3 linked regions of the Pelodiscus sinensis genome follow. The protein of the gene in region 1 purifies or fractionates together with the protein of each later gene. This does not show direct contact. Links are inferred from orthologs where the notes say so. Each region holds a gene or a part of one and is shown in the gene's direction. Other genes may lie near its edges. The genes, in order: SNW1, DDX23 and BCAS2.

Region 1 (3,740 bases):
AAAAAGAATCTTATATAACAGCTGTTCTCAGGTAAAAAGTAGGATATTTTGAATTAACTATAGTCTATATGTTTAATGACTGAAATGTAACAACAATGTGATGTTGCATCCCCATATTTTTATTAAAATGTGGTTTTGAAAATTAATAAGCTTTATGCAAAATGGAGCCTGTAACATATCACTGGAAAGCTTGTAATCCCTTGAGTATGTATATTCTATTTGTGTGAATGCATCAGGCCTATATTTGAAATTATAATATGAAGTATACACCAGTTTATTGATCTAGGTGTGCTAGTGAAAGACATTAATAGTACTAAGGAACTTAATGGCCCAGTGTTCAAGACAATACTCTGTGAATAGTCTCATTTTTGCATGTTTCATTTTGCATTTTGTATGATGCTTAGCTGGCATGTTATGTTTTATTTAGCTTAGTAACTACTTTGATCTGGCTATCATCACTTGCAATCACTTAAATGTTGCTATTTATATTTAATAAAAATCTCTTTTATTATTAAACCCTGTGTAAATAACTGTTACCTAGGAGTAACAACAGCTGTGCATCTCTTATTGAAAAAGGGGGCACACATCTTATGAGTTCACGCTACATAAACTTTATGCATAGTGAGATGGATTTATTTTGGGTGTTAGTCCCATTGGGGCCATGCACCTGGGATCTGTGTCAAGTCCCTGTGACTGAGCCTTTCCAAGGCTGAGAGACTCTCAGTGTTTGTGTTGCTCTTCTGTGGGCTGTGACCCCAACTCTGTACCTTTGCTGGGGAAGACCAGAGAGCCTGGCTCAGCAAGATAGAGTGTTGGGTGCACCCCAGAGGGCAGATAATGATATGATCAGCCCATCAGGGGGCAACCTCCAGGGAATCTTTGTGACCTGGGCCAACCCTCACACACAGATTCACTTTGTTAATTAAAAGGCAAGTATAGTATTAATAGTCTCAGTACCATAATTGTCATTTGTTTTAATCTGGAAAAAAGACTCATATCCAAGGCCCCCTCAAACTCTAATAGCCCTGGGCCTACAGTCAGACACCTTTGGAACAGATTGTAGGGTTGCCATGTGTCCGGTTTTGAACAGGACAGTCTAGTATTTGAGCTTTCTGTTTGGGAAACAAATTGAGAAAATATAAATGAGAAAACATAAATGTCCAGTATTTTCTAAATAAGATGTAATGTAGATTGTGATGTGATGTCAAGTGTCTCCACTATTTTTGTTGAAACCGTCTGGCAACCTTAGATCGGTGCTAGCCCAGCCGAGCAAAGACACCACGGTCTTAAAGAGATTACAACTCGCACAATGCCTATCTCTTGCGCATGTGCTTTAGAAACGTGTATGCCTCCTCCAGTCTAGGGTAGGCTTGTGAACGAAGACTACAAGTCCCAGAAGATGTTTCGGCAATAGCTCTGCGGAGTGTAGCGTATGGTCTTCGCGCTGAGGAAAGCTGAGAGACTACAACTCCCAGCATGCTTTTGATATCTGCGCCTGCGCGTTTGCTATCCCCTTCGTGCGGCTAGGGTCCCCGAGCGAGACGAGGAAGATGGCGCTCACCAGGTTGGTGGGGCTCAGGGCCGCAGTGCTTCCGTCCTGGTCCTATTCCAACGTCCCTTGTACCCCGCGCTCTTCGGGGCCCGAAGAGCCTCTTCCGGGTGCGAGGGGGCTGTTGGCCCTGCCAAGGGACAAGCCAGGCTGGCGCCGTGTAGGCCTCTCCGAGCCGGGGCCTTTCCCCAGCTCCCAGCCGCGGACTTATCTCCCAGGGGGCCAGGCCCGTAGAGACAGGCCGGGGCGTGGGGACCGGACACCTCCCACCGGCCTGCACTGGGCTGGGGGAGGGTAGGAGCTGCCTGCGCCAAGGGCGGCCCTGGAGGAGACCGTGTGCACCCAGGGTCGGGGGCTCGGCGGCCACCCCGGGCCTATGCCACGGGCCCGTGCTAGGGGTCTGGGGAGGGAGCTAGTTACGGACAGGAACCTCCCTCCAGAATCGCAGCGAGTTGTTTGCCGCTGACAGGGTTAATGCCCCCTCCGCACACCCCGTGTGGGGGTAGCGGATCCCCAGTGATTCCTTCTCCGAGGTGCTACACAGCCACTCCTCCGTGGTCACCGGCGCATAGGGAGCCTGGGGTCTGATACAGCGGCGTCCAGGGCATGCTTATGCATGGGGTTTACACATATGTGTTGGGCTTGGGCAGACACCTGCGGACTCTGTTGTTAGGTCCTATTGTGTGTACGGCTCTGTCTACGTCCTAGGGCAGTCTACTGAGAGAAGTTGAGAGGTCAGTGTCATTCTCTGTTTAGGTTAAGGGACATGTCTTTTTGTGTGTACTCCAATATATAAACCTTTTGGCAGCCAAACGTTTCCTTAAGGAAATGCAAAGGGGGCAGCCTGGTTCTGAAATGGGAGTGCAGAGCAAACTAAAAAGTGGGAAGTTAAGATTTTAGCTCAGTCCTTTGTTCTTGACCAATGGGGACAAGAGATGTTCTGGAGAATGTGTAGTCATCCCCAGAGAAAGGAACATCTTGTATTGCTTGGGTACCAAACCTTGGTCAGAATGAGTTGTATCACTGTGTCTGTGGGCATTTATGTGAGGAGTCATTAAGAACTGGAGGATATTTTCTTTTTCACTTTGACAGAATGATAGAAAACATACTTATGTAGAATGCGGTTATGTTTTGTAAGATTCCTACAGCTCTGTTGCTAAAGAAAAAACAGAGGTGGCTCCTTCTGTTCAATCAGGGGTGGGAAATATGCACTGCACTGGGACTGGGGGATAAAGAAAGGAGAAAGAGAAGAGTGAAGCTGCCTTCAACATTTCAACTCAGAGACAGCTGTGGCCCAGTTAAAAGTCCTGCACTCAATTAAGTGTTATAAATTGTTTCTGATTCAACACAGATTTGTGGCAAAGATGAACAGTTCCTTGGAATACTCTAATCAAAGAATGAAATATTGCACTTGATCTCATTTGTGTTGAGTGGGTGAGACTGTCTCAAAGTTAATATCCTTCTCTTTTTGTCTGTTCAGTTTTTTACCAGCCCCAACTCAGCTGTCTCAGGACCAGCTAGAATTAGAAGAAAGAGCAAGATCTCAGAGATCAAGACAGACTGCACTGGTATCATCGCGCAGGGAACCTCCCCCTTATGGTTATCGAAAAGGATGGATACCACGAATGCTAGAGGTAAATATTTGACTTCATACTCTGGTGATAGCTCTCATTTATTTTGGGGGAATTTTTTAAAAGATTAAATCCAAGCATTTGAACATAGCACAGAAAATTGTATAGTGCCCCACCATATCAGAAATTGACTGGTTATGTCCATCAATCCAGGTAGAAATATTCTGGGTTTGTTTTTGTTTTATAGTATTACTACTTACTAGAGAAACCTTCTAACTATATTGTACATAACCTTCCCTGTGGAGAATATTATGAAGTGAAACAAGTAGTCCTTGCAGATGCCTTCTGAATACATGTCTATTTTCATTTTCCTGATTTGTTAAATATACAGTCCAGATGAAAGTTCTCCGTGCATGGTTACAGTTGGACAGCTAAAAAAAAGTTGAATTAGAGAATAATCTCATAGTTATGTTTTCATAGATATCAGCTTATTTTATTTTCTTGTGTTTGTAGTAACATTGGCATTTGTCAGACATTCAGTGTTATATGTGATTGTCAGAAGAAACCTGAGATGATGCACATTCTTAGTCTTTACCCTGAATTTAGTTAATCTCATATCA
Region 2 (3,740 bases), on another chromosome or scaffold:
CAGGACAGCAGGGCCGATCCCTGCCAGGACAGCAGGGCTCTCTCCTGAGACTGGTGGAACTCAACTCTGCTAGGGTGCAGAGAGAGGCAAGGGGATGTGATCACAGTATAAGGACCCTTCAGGCCACAGTGACTATGGGGTTCTGGTCCAGGCAGTGGGGTTGGTGTCTAGGGCCAGCCTGGCCCTGTAACTCACAGCAGCTCCTTCTGCTGTGGCAGACAGTCGGGAGGGAGGTGGTTTGGTTACAGCTGTCCTTCTCTCTCCTCCCCTGCCCCCTCTTCAGCCCAGCCCCTTCTTCACAGCAATCAGTGGGGCCATGAGCTTGGCCGGGCCAGCCCCAGGAAGTCTCCCATTGCCCCTGAAGCTGTGACTGCAGTGGTTCTAACATATTGGGGGGACGAGGGGGGCTCTTCAGACTGGCCCCAGAGGGCTCCCTGTCCTGGAGATTCTGAGCCACCGGCTCACAGCGGGCCAATAGCCCCGTGGGCTGACACTCTCCCTTGGAAATGTTGGGCTGCAGAACCAGCTGGCTCAAGAGAGCTGGAAGCCCTGGGTGTTAAGCTAGTGAGATCCTGGTGAATGAAGTGGAGGAGTCTACCCTGGCTCTGGCTGCCGGGTTGAGGAGCGTCCCCAGGGGCCGTGCTGCTGGTGGGGAGAGGAGGAGCAGGCTTGGTGTCTTCTGCGGAGCCCAGCTGCATGGGAACCCAATGCACAGAGGCTGGATGGGTGGGGGCAGGGCTGGGTGCACAGGAGGAACTGGAGCAGGGGCGGTGAGGCCAGAGGGCGGTGTTGGGGGGGGGGGGAGAGGGAGAAAGAAGCAGCAGTGAGGCCAGGGCCAGTGATAATGAGGGTGGGGGTACAGGCAGGAATGGGGGGAGGAGGAAGGGCAGTGATGGGATTGGTGCTGGTGCAGCAGGGCAGGCTGCTGCCAGCAGTTGGGGGGGGCGGTGGCAGGGCGCGCTGGGGCAGCAGGGGGCGCTGTTTCGGACTCAGCGCCGGGAGCGACCTTCCCTAGGATGCCGGCGGCGAGCCGCGCGGTGCCTGCTGGGAGCGGTAGTTGCTGCGCTGCGGACGCGGTCGCCGCCGGCCGCCCAAGCCGGCCTCGCTTTCCCGGCATGCCGCGCGGCGTTGCGACAGTGTCGCGCGGGGGCCTGTCGTAAGATGGCGGCTGCTGCGCAGGGGCTGTGAGGCCTAGTAGGAGGCGCGGCGCGGGGTGAGTGCGGCGCTGTGGGGCCCCGGAGCGCTCTCGGGGGGAGGGGAGCCCGGCTCTCGGGGCAGCCGGTCCTGCTGCTCCTGGGGGCAGGGGCTCGAACCCGCCGCCCTGCGCCCCGCAAGCCACAGCCGGAGCCCGGGCCCTGTTGTGTCGGGGGGGGGGGCAGAGCCTGGGCCCCCTGGGGTCTCGGGGGGGGGGGCAGAGCCTGGGCCCTGGGGTCTCGGGGGGGGGGGGGCAGAGCCTGGGCCCTGGGGTCTCGGGGGGGGGGGGCAGAGCCTGGGCCCTGGGGTCTCGGGGGGGGGGGCAGAGCCCGGATCTCTGGGGTCTCTGGGGGGGGGGCAGAGCCCGGATCCCTGGGGTCTCTGGGGGGGGGCAGAGCCCGGATCTCTGGGGTCTCTGGGGGGGGGGCAGAGCCCGGATCCCTGGGGTCTCTGGGGGGGGGGCAGAGCCCGGACCCCTGGGGTCTCTGGGGGGGGGGCAGAGCCCGGATCCCTGGGGTCTCGGGGGGGGGCAGAGCCCGGATCCCTGGGGTCTCGGGGGGGGCAGAGCCCGGATCTCTGGGATCTCTGGGGGGGGCAGAGCCCGGATCCCTGGGATCTCTGGGGGGGGGGCAGAGCCCGGATCCCTGGGGTCTCGGGGGGGGCAGAGCCCGGATCTCTGGGTTCTCGGGGGAGGGAGGGGCAGAGCACGGACCTCTGGGCAGTCTCGTGGGGTCAGGACAATGTTCCCTCTAATTCCTTCCATCCATGTGCAGAATACATTTTGCGTGCCCTGAGGCATGTGTGAATGTGCACCACCAGTAGGAACAAAAACCTAGCTGGGGGCGCTCTGCTAATCATCTGGGTGGCATCTGAATGTCTCCTGAGCAGCCGCACAAGCGCCCAGCTTAGAGGGAATAGTCTGGGATGCGGAGGAAGCCCCCTCTGCTGGGTTCTCTCGCATGGTTGGGGAAGAGGCGGAAGGGAGTCTGGGAAAAGCCCTGCAAATCCACAGATATCTGTGGGTGTCCCCACACGCGGATGTGGATGTGTGTATCTACGGCTCATTTGCGTGGATGTGGTTGCAAATGTTGGATCTATAACACTGCATATATTCTGGTCATCTGTGGATGACCCTTTTATACCCACAGGTCCTGCTTGGATACCGCTGCTAGGGATGTAAATATACAAAGTGAACTGGTTAAACGATTTAATTGTAATCAATGAACCGGTTAACTGTATTGCTGGGGTCTGGCCATCCTGCTGTGGGGGGGGCTCTGCCCTCTGTGTGCGGGTGGGGGACTGCTCTGGCCAGCCTGCTGGGGTTGCGCTGTGCTGTAGATGAGGAATTGCTCCAGTTGGCCAGCTGTGGTCACGCCACGCTGTGGACTGCTGTGGCCATCCACTTGGGGTCGCACTGTGGGCGAGGGACTGCTTCAGCCAGCCCACTGGGGTTATGTCACGCTACGGGTTGGGGACTGCTTTGTGTTGTGCTGCGGGACTGCTCCAGCCAGCCCACTAGGGTCAGGCCACGTCACAGGTGGGGGGGCTGGTCCAGCCGGTCAGCTGGGGTCGTGCCATGGGCGGGGGACCACTCTGGCCCACGGGTTCCTGTCAGCCGGGCCACAGCAGATGGGGGACTGCTTCTTCCCCCCCCCCTCCGTTTAACCAGTTATCTGGTGAGCATGCTAGTATGGCTAATGCTTACAGGTAACCTTTTACGTCCTTAATGGATGCGGATATCCGCAGCTCACTTTTGCAGATACAGATGCAGGTACAGAACTTTGTGTCTGTGCAGGGGTCTATTCCTTGGTTCTTTCGTGGAGTTGCGGGGGAAGTGGACTCCTGGATTCTCTCCCAGGGTTAGGGTCATGGGTTTACTGTGGTAACCCTGTATTAAAAAGGGTGTATGTCCTGTGAACTGCCCAGACACCCCTGCTGCACCAAGGCCAAAATAGGGAATCACCCTCTTCCCTTCCCCTCTGCCCTTGGGCCAATTCTGGATGGGAGTCAGCGCCCCCCAGAGGGGAAGATCCTCATTCTCTGCTCTCCCCAAGCCAGCCCGCACCTAATGATGTGTCCCGTGTATTTTTTTTTGGGGGGGGGGGGCAGTGCCAAGCTAATGGAAGCTCAGTTCCCCTCTCACACCCTCCACACCCCCATTAACAGCCTCTTACTGCCCTGCACAGATGGCTGGTGACGTGCCCGACAAGAAGGAGCGGGACTTGTCACCCCCCAAGGAGGAGAGGAAACGTGCGAGCTCCCTGGACAGGGACCGTGACAGGAAGCGACACAGGTCTCGGGAGAGGAGGCGGGGCAGCCGATCAAGATCCCGCTCCCGTTCCAAGTCAGCTGAGAGGTAGCAGCCTCCAGGCCTAGGGGTGGGGGGCCGTGTGGTTGGCTCTGACAGGCTGGTAACTGATCCCCCGGCTCTACCCTTGTAGGGAGCGGAGACAAAAAGAGCGTGAGCGGAATAAGAAGGATCGCGAGAGGGAGAAAGATGGGCACCGGCGGGACAAGGACAGGAAACGCTCCAGGTAAAACCTTGC
Region 3 (3,740 bases), on another chromosome or scaffold:
ATAGCACTTTCTCATAAACAGTTGTTTACGTGGCACTGATGGACTCTGACTGAATCCTGTGTAATGACAATGACTGCTGTAGTGAAATGAAAAGTCTTCTTAGTGCTCCAACCTAACGTAGCACGTACTAGTTGTATACAGTGTTGACATACAGAATTCATACATGAGTTTGAAAAGTCCCCAGTGGAGCTCAGTTCCTTGTATAGAACAACACTTGGAAGGGGCTTATATTCCCAATAGCAGTTTGTCCATGTCTACAGGGGTATGATTTTGCGTAAATACTTTTAAGAGTTTTTGTGTTCAAGTATTTGCGTAAGAGTGTTTGCAGGTGCCTGTGCCGTGGTGCACGAGGTGTCCACGCCAGTGCAGACGCTCTCTTGTGCAAGAACGCTCTGATGGCCATTTCAGCCCCTGGGCTTTCTTGTGTAAGATACTCCTGGTGCCTGTGCCCCCTGGGGCAGCCGGGCTTCTCCAGGAGCGGGCGGCGCATGGCTCCGGCGCACGAGGCCCTGATTCCTGAGCCCATGGCTGCTCTGGCCCAGGAGGTCCCGCCCGGAGCGGCCGCCCAGCCCCTGCCCCGCGCTCTGGCTGAAGGGGGCGCAGGCCCCTCAACGTCTCCCGGGAGCGGCGGGGCGCGGGACCCCGAACCCGGGGGGGGGGGGGGGGGGGGCTGACGCGGGCTTGGCGCCCCCCGCTCTGCCTCGGGCGGGACCGGCCCCGCGCGCTGGGACGAAGCGGAGCTGGCGGTTAACGGCTCCGGCTGCAGCCCCCGCCGCACGCTCAGGCCAAGCCAGGGAGGGGCGCAGGGCCCATCCCCCCGGTCTCTAAGGAGACGCCGCGCGCCAGGGCCAATGGGCGGGGAGGGGCGGGCTGAGGGGGATCCAGGTGGCGCGTGCACCCTACGCAGCCATAGCGCGCGGGTCTCTGCGCCTGCGCACAAAAGGCAAGCGGACCGGGGCGCAGGCGCGCTGAGGGCAGGGGCGTCGGGGTCACGGCGCAGGCGCAGCGGAGCGGAGCGCGCGGTCGCTCTCACTGCTGCCATGTCGGGCCCGGGGCTGGTGGCCGGCGAGGTGGCGGTGGACGCGCTGCCCTACTTCGACCAAGGCTACGAGGCGCCGGGCGTGCGGGAGGCGGTGAGTGGGGGGGGAGAGAGCGCTGGGCCGGGTCGTGTGTGTGTGTGTCGGGGGGGGCTGTCCCCGTGTGTGTGTGTGTGTGTGTCGGGGGGGGGCTGTCCCCGTGTGTGTGTGTGTGTGTGTGTCGGGGGGGGGCTGTCCCCGTGTGTGTGTGTGTGTGTCGGGGGGGGGGCTGTCCCCGTGTGTGTGTGTGTGTGTGTGTGTGTCGGGGGGGGGCTGTCCCCGTGTGTGTGTGTGTGTGTGTGTGTCGGGGGGGGCTGTCCCCGTGTGTGTGTGTGTGTGTCGGGGGGGGCTGTCCCCGTGTGTGTGTGTGTCGGGGGGGGCTGTCCCCGTGTGTGTGTGTGTGTGTCGGGGGGGGGCTGTCCCCGTGTGTGTGTGTGTGTGTGTGTGTGTGTCGGGGGGGGCTGTCCCCGTGTGTGTGTGTGTGTGTGTGTGTGTGTCGGGGGGGGCTGTCCCCGTGTGTGTGTGTGTGTGTGTGTGTCGGGGGGGGCTGTCCCCGTGTGTGTGTGTGTGTGTGTGTGTCGGGGGGGGCTGTCCCCGTGTGTGTGTGTGTGTGTGTGTGTGTCGGGGGGGGGCTGTCCCCGTGTGTGTGTGTGTGTGTGTCGGGGGGGGGCTGTCCCCGTGTGTGTGTGTGTGTGTGTGTCGGGGGGGGCTGTCCCCGTGTGTGTGTGTGTGTGTGTGTGTCGGGGGGGGGCTGTCCCCGTGTGTGTGTGTGTGTGTGTGTCGGGGGGGGCTGTCCCCGTGTGTGTGTGTGTGTGTGTGTCGGGGGGGGCTGTCCCCGTGTGTGTGTGTGTGTGTCGGGGGGGGGCTGTCCCCGTGTGTGTGTGTGTGTGTCGGGGGGGGCTGTCCCCGTGTGTGTGTGTGTGTGTGTGTCGGGGGGGGCCTGTCCCCGTGTGTGTGTGTGTGTGTGTCGGGGTGGGGGCTGTCCCCGTGTGTGTGTGTGTGTGTGTGTGTGTCGGGGGGGCTGTCCCCGTGTGTGTGTGTGTGTGTGTGTGTGTGTGTCGGGGGGGGGCTGTCCCCGTGTGTGTGTGTGTGTGTGTCGGGGGGGCTGTCCCCGTGTGTGTGTGTGTGTGTCGGGGGGGGCTGTCCCCGTGTGTGTGTGTGTGTGTGTCGGGGGGGGCTGTCCCCGTGTGTGTGTGTGTGTGTGTCGGGGGGGGCTGTCCCCGTGTGTGTGTGTGTGTGTGTCGGGGGGGGGCTGTCCCCGTGTGTGTGTGTGTGTGTGTGTGTGTGTGTGTCGGGGGGGGGCTGTCCCCGTGTGTGTGTGTGTGTGTGTGTGTGTCGGGGGGGGGCTGTCCCCGTGTGTGTGTGTGTGTCGGGGGGGGGCTGTCCCCGTGTGTGTGTGTGTGTGTGTGTGTGTGTGTGTCGGGGGGGGGCTGTCCCCGTGTGTGTGTGTGTGTGTGTGTCGGGGGGGGCTGTCCCCGTGTGTGTGTGTGTGTGTGTCGGGGGGGGGCTGTCCCCGTGTGTGTGTGTGTGTGTGTGTCGGGGGGGGGCTGTCCCCGTGTGTGTGTGTGTGTGTGTGTCGGGGGGGGGCTGTCCCCGTGTGTGTGTGTGTGTGTGTGTCGGGGGGGGCTGTCCCCGTGTGTGTGTGTGTGTGTGTGTCGGGGGGGGGCTGTCCCTGTGTGTGTGTGTGTGTCGGGGGGGGGCTGTCCCTGTGTGTGTGTGTGTGTCGGGGGGGGCTGTCCCCGTGTGTGTGTGTGTGTGTGTCGGGGGGGGCTGTCCCCGTGTGTGTGTGTGTGTGTGTCGGGGGGGGGCTGTCCCCGTGTGTGTGTGTGTCGGGGGGGAGGCTGTCCCCGTGTGTGTGTGTGTGTGTGTGTGTGTCGGGGGGGGGCTGTCCCCGTGTGTGTGTGTGTGTGTGTGTCGGGGGGGGCTGTCCCCGTGTGTGTGTGTGTGTGTGTGTCGGGGGGGGCTGTCCCCGTGTGTGTGTGTGTGTGTGTGTGTGTGTCGGGGGGGGGGCTGTCCCCGTGTGTGTGTGTGTGTGTGTCGGGGGGGGGCTGTCCCCGTGTGTGTGTGTGTGTGTGTCGGGGGGGGGGCTGTCCCCGTGTGTGTGTGTGTGTGTGTCGGGGGGGGGCTGTTCCCGTGTGTGTGTGTGTGTGTGTGTGTGTGTGTGTGTGTGTGTGTGTGTCGGGGGGGGGCTGTCCCCGTGTGTGTGTGTGTGTCGGGGGGGGGCTGTCCCCGTGTGTGTGTGTGTGTGTGTGTGTGTCGGGGGGGGGCTGTCCCCGTGTGTGTGTGTGTGTGTGTGTGTGTCGGGGGGGGGGCTGTCCCCGTGTGTGTGTGTGTGTGTGTGTGTGTCGGGGGGGGGGCTGTCCCCGTGTGTGTGTGTGTGTGTGTGTCGGGGGGGGGGCTGTCCCCGTGTGTGTGTGTGTGTGTGTGTCGGGGGGGGCTGTCCCCGTGTGTGTGTGTGTGTGTGTCGGGGGGGGCTGTCCCCGTGTGTGTGTGTGTGTGTCGGGGGGGGCTGTCCCCGTGTGTGTGTGTGTGTGTGTGTCGGGGGGGGGGCTGTCCCCGTGTGTGTGTGTGTGTGTGTGTCGGGGGGGGGGCTGTCCCCGTGTGTGTGTGTGTGTGTGTGTCGGGGGGGGGGCTGTCCCCGTGTGTGTGTGTGTGTGTGTGTCG

The links.
Region 2: the proteins of SNW1 (region 1) and DDX23 purify together in Homo sapiens (affinity purification with mass spectrometry; 3 studies listed by BioGRID and IntAct, with this or other methods). This does not show direct contact. The link is inferred for Pelodiscus sinensis from reciprocal best matches to the Homo sapiens genes SNW1 and DDX23.
Region 3: the proteins of SNW1 (region 1) and BCAS2 purify together in Homo sapiens (co-immunoprecipitation; 3 studies listed by BioGRID and IntAct, with this or other methods). This does not show direct contact. The link is inferred for Pelodiscus sinensis from reciprocal best matches to the Homo sapiens genes SNW1 and BCAS2.

The regions. Positions count from the first base shown.
Region 1 is NC_134714.1:41,584,922-41,588,661, forward strand, and holds the start of SNW1 (SNW domain-containing protein 1), read left to right. Parts: upstream 1-1,417; 5' UTR 1,418-1,550; coding exon 1,551-1,564; intron 1,565-3,029; coding exon 3,030-3,183; intron 3,184-3,740. UniProt on the Homo sapiens protein: Involved in pre-mRNA splicing as component of the spliceosome. As a component of the minor spliceosome, involved in the splicing of U12-type introns in pre-mRNAs.
Region 2 is NC_134729.1:5,094,241-5,097,980, forward strand, and holds the start of DDX23 (putative ATP-dependent RNA helicase DDX23), read left to right. Parts: upstream 1-1,059; 5' UTR 1,060-1,213; intron 1,214-3,380; coding exon 3,381-3,550; intron 3,551-3,635; coding exon 3,636-3,728; intron 3,729-3,740. UniProt on the Homo sapiens protein: Involved in pre-mRNA splicing and its phosphorylated form (by SRPK2) is required for spliceosomal B complex formation.
Region 3 is NC_134737.1:741,814-745,553, forward strand, and holds the start of BCAS2 (pre-mRNA-splicing factor SPF27), read left to right. Parts: upstream 1-961; 5' UTR 962-1,040; coding exon 1,041-1,133; intron 1,134-3,740. UniProt on the Homo sapiens protein: Required for pre-mRNA splicing as component of the activated spliceosome. Component of the PRP19-CDC5L complex that forms an integral part of the spliceosome and is required for activating pre-mRNA splicing.